Linked DNA regions of Drosophila melanogaster. The protein of the gene in region 2 interacts with the protein of the main gene of each other region in a pairwise test. Each region holds a gene or a part of one and is shown on either strand. Other genes may lie near its edges.

Region 1 (5,985 bases), on a different chromosome or scaffold from region 2:
AATCATTTTACTTTACAGCTCGTTGTCAATGCCAAAAAAGTGGTGAACCTGCTCTCCCGGAAATTGGGTCGCAAGGTGTGGTTCTTTGGCGACACCTACAGCGAGTTTGATGCCATTGTCTACAGCTATCTTGCCATCATCTTTAAGATCGCACTGCCTAACAATCCACTGCAGAATCACATTAAGGGCTGCCAAAACCTAGTGAACTTTATCAACCGCATCACGAAGGACATATTCCGCATCGAGGGATACAGTTCCGTCAAGCTCACAAAGACACCCAGTGGCACGGAGGCCAGTCTGACGGCCTCGGAGCGCAAGTTCCTAGACTCCGAGCTGAACACCAAAATAGTAGCCGGCGTGGGAGCCGTCTTGGCCATGGGAGCGTTTGCGGCATGGCGTGGGATTTACAACCAGGTGGGTATTTTTGGCTGAAATTTGTAGTTCTTTACTCTTGACTTGATGGAGCTTATTCGATAGTTCTGGTTCAATGTCTTCTGTTGGCTCCAGACACTCTTGTAGACAGCCTCAGCTTGAGCACGTGCAAAATTCTCAGTTAATTGCAAATTCCGATTGATTCATCCTTGCAGCTAACGACACGCTCTTCGACGGACTACGATGGCATAGATTACGAGGATGACGAGATGGAGGAGGGCCTAGACTAATCGCATCTCTGCAACGATATCTATGTGTATAGTATATATATTTTAAAATACAATGTGGGGATGAAGCACAAAAACTGTCCAGCTTTAAAGGTTTACCTAAACACTGAAGGAGATCGATTTACTTGGCCATAAATCTTTGGACCGAAAATTTCGTCAGGTAATGATCCCCTCGTCGTAGATAACGCTTCGTTCCAAGGATTTGCCAAACAAATCGACTAAGTATGAAAATTCGGTTTATGTATTATAGTTCGAATTCGTTTTTAAACTGTCTTGTATAAAATAGCATTTTAAAGTCATCTGAGCGTAATAAAATTGGATAACAGAGCCCTGTTGTCATGGAAAAGACAAGCGAAGCTTTCTCGATGTCCAATAAGAAACCAGAATTCCTCGATTGGAGTTGGATTTGGTTTATTACACACTAGTCTTAAATGTAGATTTCGAATAGGGGTCAATACGATAGAGATGTTAGAGCCTACAATGGAATTGGTAGATGCATGGGGGTTAACCATTGAACTCATGTCTTGAGTGCATCCTGCAGCTTTCGCCGCGCAACTCCGACCCGATCCTCCTGTTTGCGTATGTCGTCCTCCGAAATGATCACCGCGTGCATTAGCGGTTGTTCAGGATTCATAAACGCCATGGCATTCTTGGTCAAATCAGCCTTCGTAGAACTCTGGCCGTGTACGCCGGCGTTGAGCATATGCAGGGCCGTGGCCACCGACTGGAGGACGGTCTGTTCGTTGACATTGGGGCCAACGGTGCGTATGGTCTTGGGCAGTGAGATGTCGTCTAGCTCCTCGCCACTGTCGTGGCAGGCGCGTAGTCGTTCCAGTCGCTTCTCCCAGAACAGCTGTTTCGGCTTCTCCCGAGTGCCATGCTTGGGTTCATTCTTCGCTTTGGCGGGATCCTGTTTATGGTTGCGAATCACCGTCACCGGTTGCTTGAAGATCGAGGCAGTCTGTCGAATGGGAGGCACCAGGGAGACATCAGTGCGCAGGGCTCGGCTGTAAGGGATTAAAGATTGGAAATGTATTAGAGAAACGCCTTCAAAAAGCTAAAACACCGAACAGCACATTAGACAAAGCGTAAAGTAAAGCTTTAGCATGCAGAGATGGTGGAACATAAATCTCAGGTGGCACAGAGCTACAGCGTTTTTGAAGACAACTACGAATTGTTTTGCCAATTGTGTGTTTCTTTGGGTATTTTTTCATTTGATGCTTTTTAATTGCCGCAGGCTGTAGACCTTGCGTCCTGGCAAACAAGACATGACACGCTGACATGCAAGAGTCAAGTGCTCATCCACTTGGCTCTACCTGAGTTCGATCTGTTGCTGCTGGCGATTGGCCGTTGATGGTGAAGCAGATGCTGCTGTCGCTGTTGCTGCTGACGAGGCGGTCGCTGCCGGAGGAGCAGCTCCTGCTGCTCCTGCAGCATTGCCTCCTTGACTCCGGGCGAACTTGCGCTTGAGGGCATTGGCCGCCGATCCGCTGGTGGCCCCATTACCGCCCCCGCTTGCTATAGGCAGCGGCATGGCGCTGCAGCGGTACAGCGAAATGGAGGGCGAGGGCAGGGCGCAGTGCGGCATTTTGCCAGGCTGGAAATCAGGGATTGCAATGTCCTGTGGCTTTCCCTCCGCCCTTTTTCCTGTGGGACTGCTGAACAGACACGGCGGTGGATGGATATTTTTGGTGGGTTAGGTGGTAGTTCGTGTGCGTGTGTATACATAGGCGTATGCGTGTGTGTGGTGTATATGGTGTGTGTGTGTGTGGTTATGCGGATGTAATAACAGAAAGGTAGTGAAAGTGATTATAAACGTTTATCCGATTAAACAGCGTGCAGTGTTCCGATTTTAGGTATATAGTAGTCTATATAGTAATTCTGCTCTTCTTCTTTACCTGTAGTAGAAAACATCCACCTTGTTATTGTTGTTGTTGCTGCTGGCTGTGGCACTGCTGTTGTTGTTGCTGCTGGCGTTGTTATTGGCGCTGCTGCCGGACTTTCGGACCTCGTCGCGCTGCCATCCCTTTGGCAGGACACTGCAGTCGACGCGTTTGCGCTCGATTGTGACGCTCGGGTTCATTTGCATGCTCGCCGAAATAAATAATTAACAATTCCACAAAAGCAGCGTCTGGGCTAGCAGTGTGGCCGTACTGCGGATGGCCACAAATGCCGGATGGCACAATAGTGATGCTAGATTACATTCTCCAATATATTTATGATTTGAATTTAAAGGTACCAATGGGAAAATGAAAATAATTTAAAAGGTATTTATTTAAAAACAGAAACCTTAAGATGTTACACCTTGCACATTTTTCATTTCCTTTAAGCTTAATTCGCTAGTTAATCAGCAGTAGACCAATCTCACCTGGCCACACTGCCCAACACCTGATGTGAACATTTCACAGCACTGGTGGGCCAACTAATAAGAAAAAGAAGCAGCAGAAAAGGCGACGTAAGAAATTCCGGAGTTTTCATTCGCATTTTCCAGTCTACGAAACGGAATATGTAAATCCAGCCCATTGATAGACCTAGCCCACTCATCGCCACCTCGCGACAGTTGCCAACTTCCACGCGCAACGCCTGCCGCGAGCAGTAGAACCATCGAAGCGACCTCCCACTCGATCCAATTGGGAATTTTACACCTGGGACAAGTGGCAGCTGCTGGGAACCAAGAGACATGTCTTCGTCGGCCATTTTCGTTCTGGACGTGAAGGGCAAGGTGCTGATATCGCGGAACTACCGCGGTGACAACATCGACATGGCCGTGATCGACAAATTCATGCCATTGCTGATGGAGCGCGAGGAGGAGGGCCTAATCACTCCGATCCTTCAGACGGCGGAGACTACATTTGCCTACATCAAAACGAACAATCTTTATATCGTATCCACGACGCCGCGCAATAAGAACGTTAATATCGCTCTGGTCTTCGTCTTTCTGCACAAGATCGCGCAGGTCTTTGTGGAATACTTCAAGGAGCTGGAGGAGGAGTCCATTCGGGACAATTTCGTGATCATCTACGAGCTGCTGGATGAATTGCTCGACTTTGGCTACCCGCAGACCACCGACTCGAAAATTCTACAGGAATACATTACGCAGGAGGGTCATAAGCTGGAGCTACAGCCCCGCATCCCGGTGGCCGTGACCAATGCAGTATCCTGGCGGTCCGAGGGCATTAAGTATCGCAAGAACGAGGTGTTCCTGGACGTTATCGAGTCGGTGAATCTTCTCGCAAACGCCAATGGCAATGTGCTGCGCAGCGAGATCGTGGGCGCCATTAAGATGCGCGTCTACTTGTCGGGAATGCCAGAGCTGCGACTGGGTCTCAACGACAAGGTTCTGTTCGAGAGCACGGGCCGCGGCAAGTCAAAGTCCGTAGAGCTGGAGGACGTCAAGTTCCACCAGTGCGTGCGGTTGTCACGCTTCGAGAATGACCGGACAATCTCGTTCATTCCTCCGGACGGCGAGTTCGAACTGATGTCCTATCGTCTGAACACGCATGTGAGTATTTTTATGTACTTAGCACCAAAATGCAAGACTAACTAAACCCCTGTTGACAGGTCAAACCCCTGATTTGGATCGAATCAGTGATCGAGCGGCATGCCCACTCCCGTGTGGAGTACATGATTAAGGCGAAGTCTCAGTTCAAGCGAAGATCGACGGCCAACAACGTGGAAATCGTCATACCAGTGCCCGCCGACGCGGACTCACCCAAGTTCAAGACCACCATTGGAAGCTGCAAGTACGCACCGGAGCAGAACGCAATCATCTGGACGATCAAATCGTTCCCGGGTGGCAAGGAGTATCTAATGCGGGCACATTTCGGTCTGCCGAGCGTGGAAAGCGAGGACAATACGGAGGGCAAGCCGCCAATTCAGGTGCGCTTCGAGATTCCCTACTTTACCACGTCGGGCATCCAGGTGCGCTATCTGAAGATCATCGAGAAGAGCGGCTATCAGGCGCTGCCATGGGTGCGGTACATCACGCAGAACGGCGACTATCAGCTACGCACCAATTGAAAGGGGCAACTCCCGTTCCTGCATCATTCCAGCCAAGCTTCAGCGAGTCATCCTGCAACAGGTAGCTTCATCTCCACCCGCGTTTTTGTCTGCGATGCGTTGCGTTAAGTCAAAAGTATATATTTGTATTCGTATTGTTTCAGTATATGTATATTGTATGTAAATCAAATTTAATAAATTTTAACACCTTTTCATAACACCTGCACCAGAGTGGGTCACTTTGTATGTGCAAATTAAGACCTAGGATGCAACCAAGTTTATCCTCTTCGTTGGTCAGAGAAAACCCAAAAACCCAAAGTGTCTAATTTCACATATCCACCGACCCACCTGTACAGATGAGTCATAACAAACGGGTTGAACCCACAAAAAACTGTTTGCCTATTGCTTAATCATAATAAATGCACTTTCGATCGAGTCTCTCGGTTCGTTTTGATTTCTGATTTGTTAGCATCTTTATGGCACCTATCTGGAATCTATTTCTCAAAGTCCTTCAAGGGATAGTGCTCCTTGTGGGCCTCGATATGTTTTTCCAGCTCGCTACGCTGCTCAATCAAATGATCCGGCATCTCCGCGTAGACGCCTTCGAACATCTCACGCCAGTTGGGCTTGAGTTTCTTCTCGGACACTGCGATCTGCTTCAAAACCTTTTTCCTTATGTCCTTGACATATTCGTTTTCGACAGTCTCGTCAAACCAGCCTTTGTGCACCATGTAGCGCTTAAGCTTGGATATTGGGTGCTCCACCGAGTTCCAAATCTCGATCTCCTCCGCTGGTCGGTAGGCTGTACTATCATCTGAGGTGGAATGGTGACCCACTCGATAGGCCAGTGCCTCGAACACCACCGGCTTGTTCTCCTTGAGGACATACTCCCTGGCAGCCTTCATCGCATTATAGACGGCGAAGACGTCTGTGCCATCCACTCGAATGGTAGTAATTCCATAGCCCATAGGTCCGCGACCGGCGATTCCATCGCCCTTGTACTGTTCATGCGATGGTGTGGATATGGCAAAGCCGTTGTTTCGACTGTGGAGAAAGGTACGTCATGAAGAAACTTATTTGAATGGTATTTTTGATAAGATAAGAAATACATCCAAAATAGGTTATCTTATCAAAATAATATGTATCTTAAAGTTACTCACCAGAAGAGGATAGCCGGACAACCCAAAGTGGCAGCAAAGTTAAAGGCAGCATGTGCATCTCCCTCGGAAGCAGCTCCCTCACCAAAGTAACAGACCACACAGGCATCGTTGTTTGGCCTCAATTTCATGGCGTAGGCGGCACCAACGGCCTGGGGCATTTGGGTGGC
Region 2 (5,985 bases):
ACCTGCCCTCCAGTTGCTCCGGTCCGCTGCTCCTGCTCCTGCTCCTGCTCCCGAATCTCCTGGCCCGACCAGGCCGTATTGATTATTGTGATCTGCCGTGTGCTCCGCTCTGGGGGTAATTATGCAGCCAGGGGACCCAACTCGCCCCAACTCTTTGCGGGAGTAGGGTTTTCGTTTCGGTTTCGACATGGGTATCGGGATCGGGAATGGGGATGGGGGTCCGCCTGTCATTTATTTTAAACGATTCCTTTACACATGTCGGAGGCTTTCGCCGCCAACGTCGCCAGTCCCCTGCTCCCTTAGCTCCCAGCTCCCAGCTTCCAGCTTCAGTTTCAGCTATATAGTAGTACAGCTCGGCTATAGCTTCTGCCGACGGAGGCATGCCAATCATTTTGCGTTGATGAAGTGCGAGTGTGAGGCAAAAATGTTGTTCCAATAAGTTCAGGCATCGGTGCTGGATGCCAGAATGCCAGGAAGCGAGGATGCCAGGAGGCCAGGAGGCCAGGAGGCGGGAGGCAGTCCGTCAGCATTTCAGTGCCTCAGTTTGGCAGTCGCAAATCGCTGATCGATTGTCGGGGGCAGCGTGTTGACTCTATCGTTGCACAAACGGAGCAGCTGAAGTATTGTGTCAACAGCGAATACACTCAATTTGATTCACGCGGCATTTACTGGCGTGTCAGCAATTTAAAGAAAATCAATCAAAAGTGTGTAGGATATTTGGCCAAACATAGTGGGAAAAAAAGGGGGAGTGAGCAGAAGGCTAAAAGGATTTCAATTCGTGAAAGTACACACAGTTCAATTAAAAGTGGAGAACTGAGTAAACATTTGCAGTAGTCGGAATATTATTATCACGCAAGATTTATAGATTTTTATTGCTATATTTATTGCTATAACCAAATATTATATACTCCCCGAAATTTAAACCCAATTAAGGGCACATTTCCGACCGAAAGGCCCTAAGTTGCTGCCAAATTAACGTTCGATCGCCGTTCGAACAAGGGCCCATTCTGCTCGCAGCAGCTAAGTGACTTGTTCCACCTCTTCGCCAATAATTAATTTGTTGAAAATGCAACGCCGACTCTGGGCCACCATGGGCGTCGTGGAGATGGGGATGGCATGGGGATCGGAGCTGGCGGAGACAGGGGCAGGGAATCCGGACAGAGGCGCACTGACAGGCGGGCAGCGGCCTGCATTATGCATGAGATTGGACCTGGAGCCAGGTGGACGGCGGATGGATGATGGAGGCTGGATGCTGGAGGTTGGTGGTTGGAGAAGGGGCGCCTTCAAGGTTGGCGGTTGTCAACTCGCAATGCTGTGCCCCCTTTCCTTCGGAGTCTCTGTCGCTGCCCCAACTCCTCCACACTGATTAAGTCACTAAAACAGGCGGCTGCTTTTCTAACTAATTTGCTGTTAATTTGTTGCTACGCTACGGCCAGACGCAACTCATTTCCTTCCTGTCACAGGGCAAAAATGCTGTTTTACTTGCCTTTTTCCCTCGCCTTCAGCCGTCAGAATTCCGGGAAAAGCCCCTCTTACACACTCACACTCAGGTGAAGCCAGCCAAATCGCTGGCGCGTCGGCGGGGGAGTGGCGAGGGGCGATGGGGAAAGGGCGGAGCACAGCAAAAACTAATTTGTTTATATCAGCAAAATGCATAATAATGCCAGCGAAAATTTCATAACAATTTCGAGCTGACATTTACGAGGCTTCTGGTTCGCTACCTCTTAAATTACAAAACAAGAGGAGCGGAGTATTCAAAATTGGGTGGGCTTAAAAACAAGTGAACTTCTAAATGTTGGTACTTAATCCAAATGTTTGGCTTGAACTTATAACACATGTGTCCCCTTCTTTGATTCCGCTGCAATTAATGGCTTAATCCCCGAAATGGACTCCACTCAGCCGCAGCCTTGGCTGGTAACCGATACTGCTGCCCCGGTGTGGCCCTAATCACTCGGGGACACATGTAATGCCCGGACCCAGCTGCACATGCACTCGAATCGGCAAACACTCGCCTGTCAAAGCGTTTCCAAAGCATCGCCTCGTCGCATGTTGCATCCACAGCAGCAACCCCAAGCAATCCCCAGCCAAAGCTGCACTCCACTGCACTCCGACGCCTCCGTGCCGCTGCCACTGCCACTGCCACTCGGATCTAATGTTTATCTTCCGTGTTTCGGCCAGCTCCGATTTCTTGCGGGGCACTTTGCATGCGGCTGGCTGGCGGGGATCCCCCCCCCCCTTCCGAGACGCGGCCGAGTGGCGCTCAGGCTTTCCATCGAAAGTCACGTGCGGCACATAAAAATCAACGCACATCAGTCTGCTCCGCCGATTCTGGGCTCTTGTTCTTGTTCTGGTTTTCATTGAAAACGAAATCCGAAAATCAAAATGTTGGCGCGACATAAAACAACACAAGCCATCAATGGGGCAGGCCGAAAGCGAGGGCATTAATTAGGGGAGAGCCAAAGTGTATGTATTGTTTTTCTTATGCTTATTCTTATTCGTATTCTTTTTCCCATACCCGTTAATCGCTGGGTAAAAGGGGTATGCCCCGTTTGGGGTGGAGTTCGTAACATCGGGTGAAATTTTTGAAAACAATAAACTAATAAGAATCAGTTAAGTAGCCATAATTATGCAGCATAGATCCTACTTTCAATCGTGTGAAATTAAAGTTAATCAACATTCATGACGCACACCTTACTTTGTGAACAGCGCTTGTAAGTATGCAGCATCTTTGGCGCCAAGACCGCGTAACGGGTATCCAGAAGTCGGTGCCCAAGTGTACCGTTCCGTCTTGCCGTTTTTCGGCCTTTGTAAGCGTGTGTGTGTGCGTGGGGGCGACTTCGGGCCGTCTTCGGGACTTCGTTGGGGCCTTCTTCGTTCCTTGGGAGCTGCCGCTGCCTCTGCCGCTGCTGGCGTCACCGCCGCCTCAGTCGCTGCCTCGGTCGGCGCTGGCGTCGCAGTCGCTTCCTGCTCTCGACGCTCGGGCTTTTTGGCTTTCTTTGCGCACGACTCTCGGGCATTTTGCGTTTGCACGTCAAGGCAAGCGGACGACGAGGACGAGCGGCGAGATACTGCGGAAACAAGTGGCAGCAAGTGGCAAGAGCTGAACTTCCGCACCCGGGAAACGGTCGCGTGTGCTCCGAGTGGAAATACGGAAATACGGAAAATTCGGAAAATTTGAACGCGTGTTCGCCGAGTCGGGGGAAGCGCCGGCAAGTGCCCGCTGAAGAATCGCAACTATGCGTGCGACCACAAATCAAAATACGAATTTATGAAAAGTGCTCGCTCGCCAGGCAAAAGTAAGAGTGCTCGTGCGTGGGCCATCGGCTAATTGCTCGTGACTCGGCAGCCACAGGTGGTGCTCCTGCCCCGCCACGCCCCCAGCCAAGCCGCCCACCGGCCAATTGTTGCGGCACACGCAGATTCGCAGAAGCGTAATTAAAGAGGGACCCCGGGCGAAAGGTCAGCGGCAGCCGCAATTAGCAAATCTAACAGTTCCGAGAATCGACTCGCTGCAGCCCCATTAATTGGGACCCGAATCTCCAAAGAGCAGAACCGACGCACAGCGAAACTCCCCGTCCCCCAAAAAAAAAAAGTCGCAAGGAAATTCATTTTTATTCTCTGGCCGAAGGAGAAAAGTGGGTGGCTGCTGGGGGATTCTTGGGGGATTTTTGGGGGACAGCAGGCGACGTGTGTCAAAGGTTTGACAGGCCTTAATTGAGCGGAGGACAGAGAATCAGGAGACGAGTCGGGCGGGGGTGGATGCGACTGGGGGGTTGGGGGCGACTCCGGGCGAGGGCCTCGCATCTCGGGATTTTCGGATTTACGGACTTACGGATTAGAAGCGAAACGCAATTTATTTCCCTTCGGGGGAGACGGAGAATTAAAAGTCGAGCAGAAACACAATATTTTGTATCTCAGCGCATTTGCGATGCTTTCATTGAAAGGAAAATTGCGAGGGAAAATCAAACTACAGACTTTAAACTTTTCAACGTAATTAGGAGTGGTAGAGATGTTGGGAGTATTATTCGTATAGTTCTACAAAGCAAGTGGATTAACATTAGCAAAGTTTAAAACTGCGAAACTTACTAAGAATAAGGAATGTTTGCTTTTTTAAACAGGAACTCGAGTTGATAAATTATCAAGCAGAAAAAGCAGAATTGCGTGAAAAGTTTTCGATTCAATTTAATCATATTAAGTCAACTATTCTGTACATTTTGGCCACCAATTAAAATTTGCCTCTAGTTCAATTAATAAAAATGCGACAACAAGAAATTAATCCAATTTGCCGACCATTGAAAACATAGTTATAGAGTGTTCCAATCAAAAAGCAATTAATTTAACAAAATTTGCAAATCAATTTAGCCGCAGAACACGCACTCAGAGGTTGTTTCACCTAGTCAAAACCCAAACTTCAATAAAAGAACCAAACAAGTGAAAAATAAATATACAAAGTGAACTAATGCAAAGGAGCACCATGTTGCCAGGAGTGGAGCTGCTGCTGCTGTTCCTGCTGAGCACGTCGCTGCACGCGGAGATCTCCCACTTGCCGATGGCCAGCAACCGCATCATTCTGGACTCCACGGAGCTGCTCCAGAACCCGCTGATCCAGGACGCCGGTGTGCCAGCGGCCAGGGCGACGCCACTTCCACCGCAAAAGTGTCCTTCGCTGCAGCGGTACCGCAAGATGCTAAAGGACTTCGACGACCTGGAGGACCTCTACGTGGACGTGCCCGTGCATATAGCTCTGGCGGAGCGGCAGAGGAAGCGGTGAGTGCGGTATTTGGCTTGTGCTTTCTGGGTTTCCGATGATGGGTAGCAATACGGCTAAGTGCGCTGGCGACGCCGCCTGCCACACAAATCAAATTACGGCCAAACAAATGCGAAAGATGGCCAGAGGAGCCAAACTCAGGGGCGCCTCTCCAAGACGAAGCAAAGCCAGCAAAGGCTGGAGCAGGAGCAAAAAATAATTTATAACCACGACGTGTGGCTGGCCAAACAAAAAACATCCACAGCCAGATTTTCTACGCTCCTGCTTAAGTGTGTGTGCATGTGTGTGTGTTCTCCTCTTATTTGTCTAGTGTGCGAGTTTTGTTGTCCTTCCAGCTGCCGCCACAAATCGCACTGTGGGGTCAGGCGGGGATTCTAGTGAAACCTCTTGATTAAGTGTGCCACTTTAATCAATGATGGGATCCTATCATCTATAACTCCATCTTAATAATATTATTTAAGCGAGAGGCTACTTCTAAGAACATCCGGATTTCCAGTAAAAGTTCCCTTAGTTCGTTAAATTGCTTTCAAAAATTTATAAATTCGATTATCCGGTGTTTCTGTGGCACTCCATGTATAGATTTTCGCCAGCCACTTTAAAGTTTCTGCCAACACACCAAAGTTCGCACACTTCCCTCTGCCCCACTGTTCGCACTGCGTTACACGTGGCGTATGAGTAACGTTCTTTTTTGCGATTTTCATTGGTTTCCGATGGGCCGCAGCTTGGGCCTGGGTCAAAAGAGGCCCGTCACGTTTTCGCTTAGGCTCTGGCTGGACTCCGGGATTTCAGTTTTCATCTTCTCCAGTGAACGTGCACCCAGTGCGCTTGGCTTTTTCCCGTTTTTGCGAAGCGGGGAAACTGGAAGCCCTCGGCTCGTATAACACTCGATCATTTGCCACAGAATGCCAGCAAACATTCAAATTAATGTCGTGGCTTGTCGTCAACTTCTTTTCGGTTCGCTTCTAGAGTTTTTTTCTCCGCATTTCCCCCCTCATGTATGGAGTGTGTACTGGGCATCGGTGTCGCGCGACCCGGCGAGAGTGCTCCAATTGCCCAAGTGCAGCTCGAGTGACCAGGCAGCGGGAATCTGGAGATTCGAGATCGGAGATGCGGCACTCGAGATCCGAGATCCGAGAGCCCAGATCCATCGCTAGAATCAGAGTACGTGACGTTCGGCTCGAGTTGCCCGGTTTGCTGAGCGTGTGAAAGGAACTAGT

The links. Proteins that work in one complex are often made in the same cells at the same time.
Region 1: the proteins of nord (region 2) and AP-1mu interact in a two-hybrid assay, tested with the Drosophila melanogaster proteins (one large-scale study listed by BioGRID).

Annotation. Positions count from the first base shown.
Region 1 is NT_033777.3:9,556,604-9,562,588, reverse strand, and holds AP-1mu (adaptor protein complex 1, mu subunit), read left to right. Parts: upstream 1-3,063; 5' UTR 3,064-3,339; coding exon 3,340-4,161; intron 4,162-4,220; coding exon 4,221-4,679; 3' UTR 4,680-4,877; downstream 4,878-5,985. Other genes in the region: CG9393 (uncharacterized protein), read left to right, coding at 19-414, 588-662; MBD-like (Methyl-CpG binding domain protein-like), read right to left, coding at 1,177-1,666, 1,976-2,317, 2,558-2,748; BckdhA (branched chain keto acid dehydrogenase E1 subunit alpha), read right to left, coding at 5,153-5,702, 5,819-5,984.
Region 2 is NT_033778.4:24,240,248-24,246,232, forward strand, and holds the start of nord (nord), read left to right. Parts: upstream 1-3,007; 5' UTR 3,008-3,296; intron 3,297-4,362; 5' UTR 4,363-4,459; coding exon 4,460-4,767; intron 4,768-5,985. UniProt on the Drosophila melanogaster protein: Secretory protein that acts as a feedback regulator of dpp/BMP, wg and hh signaling pathways.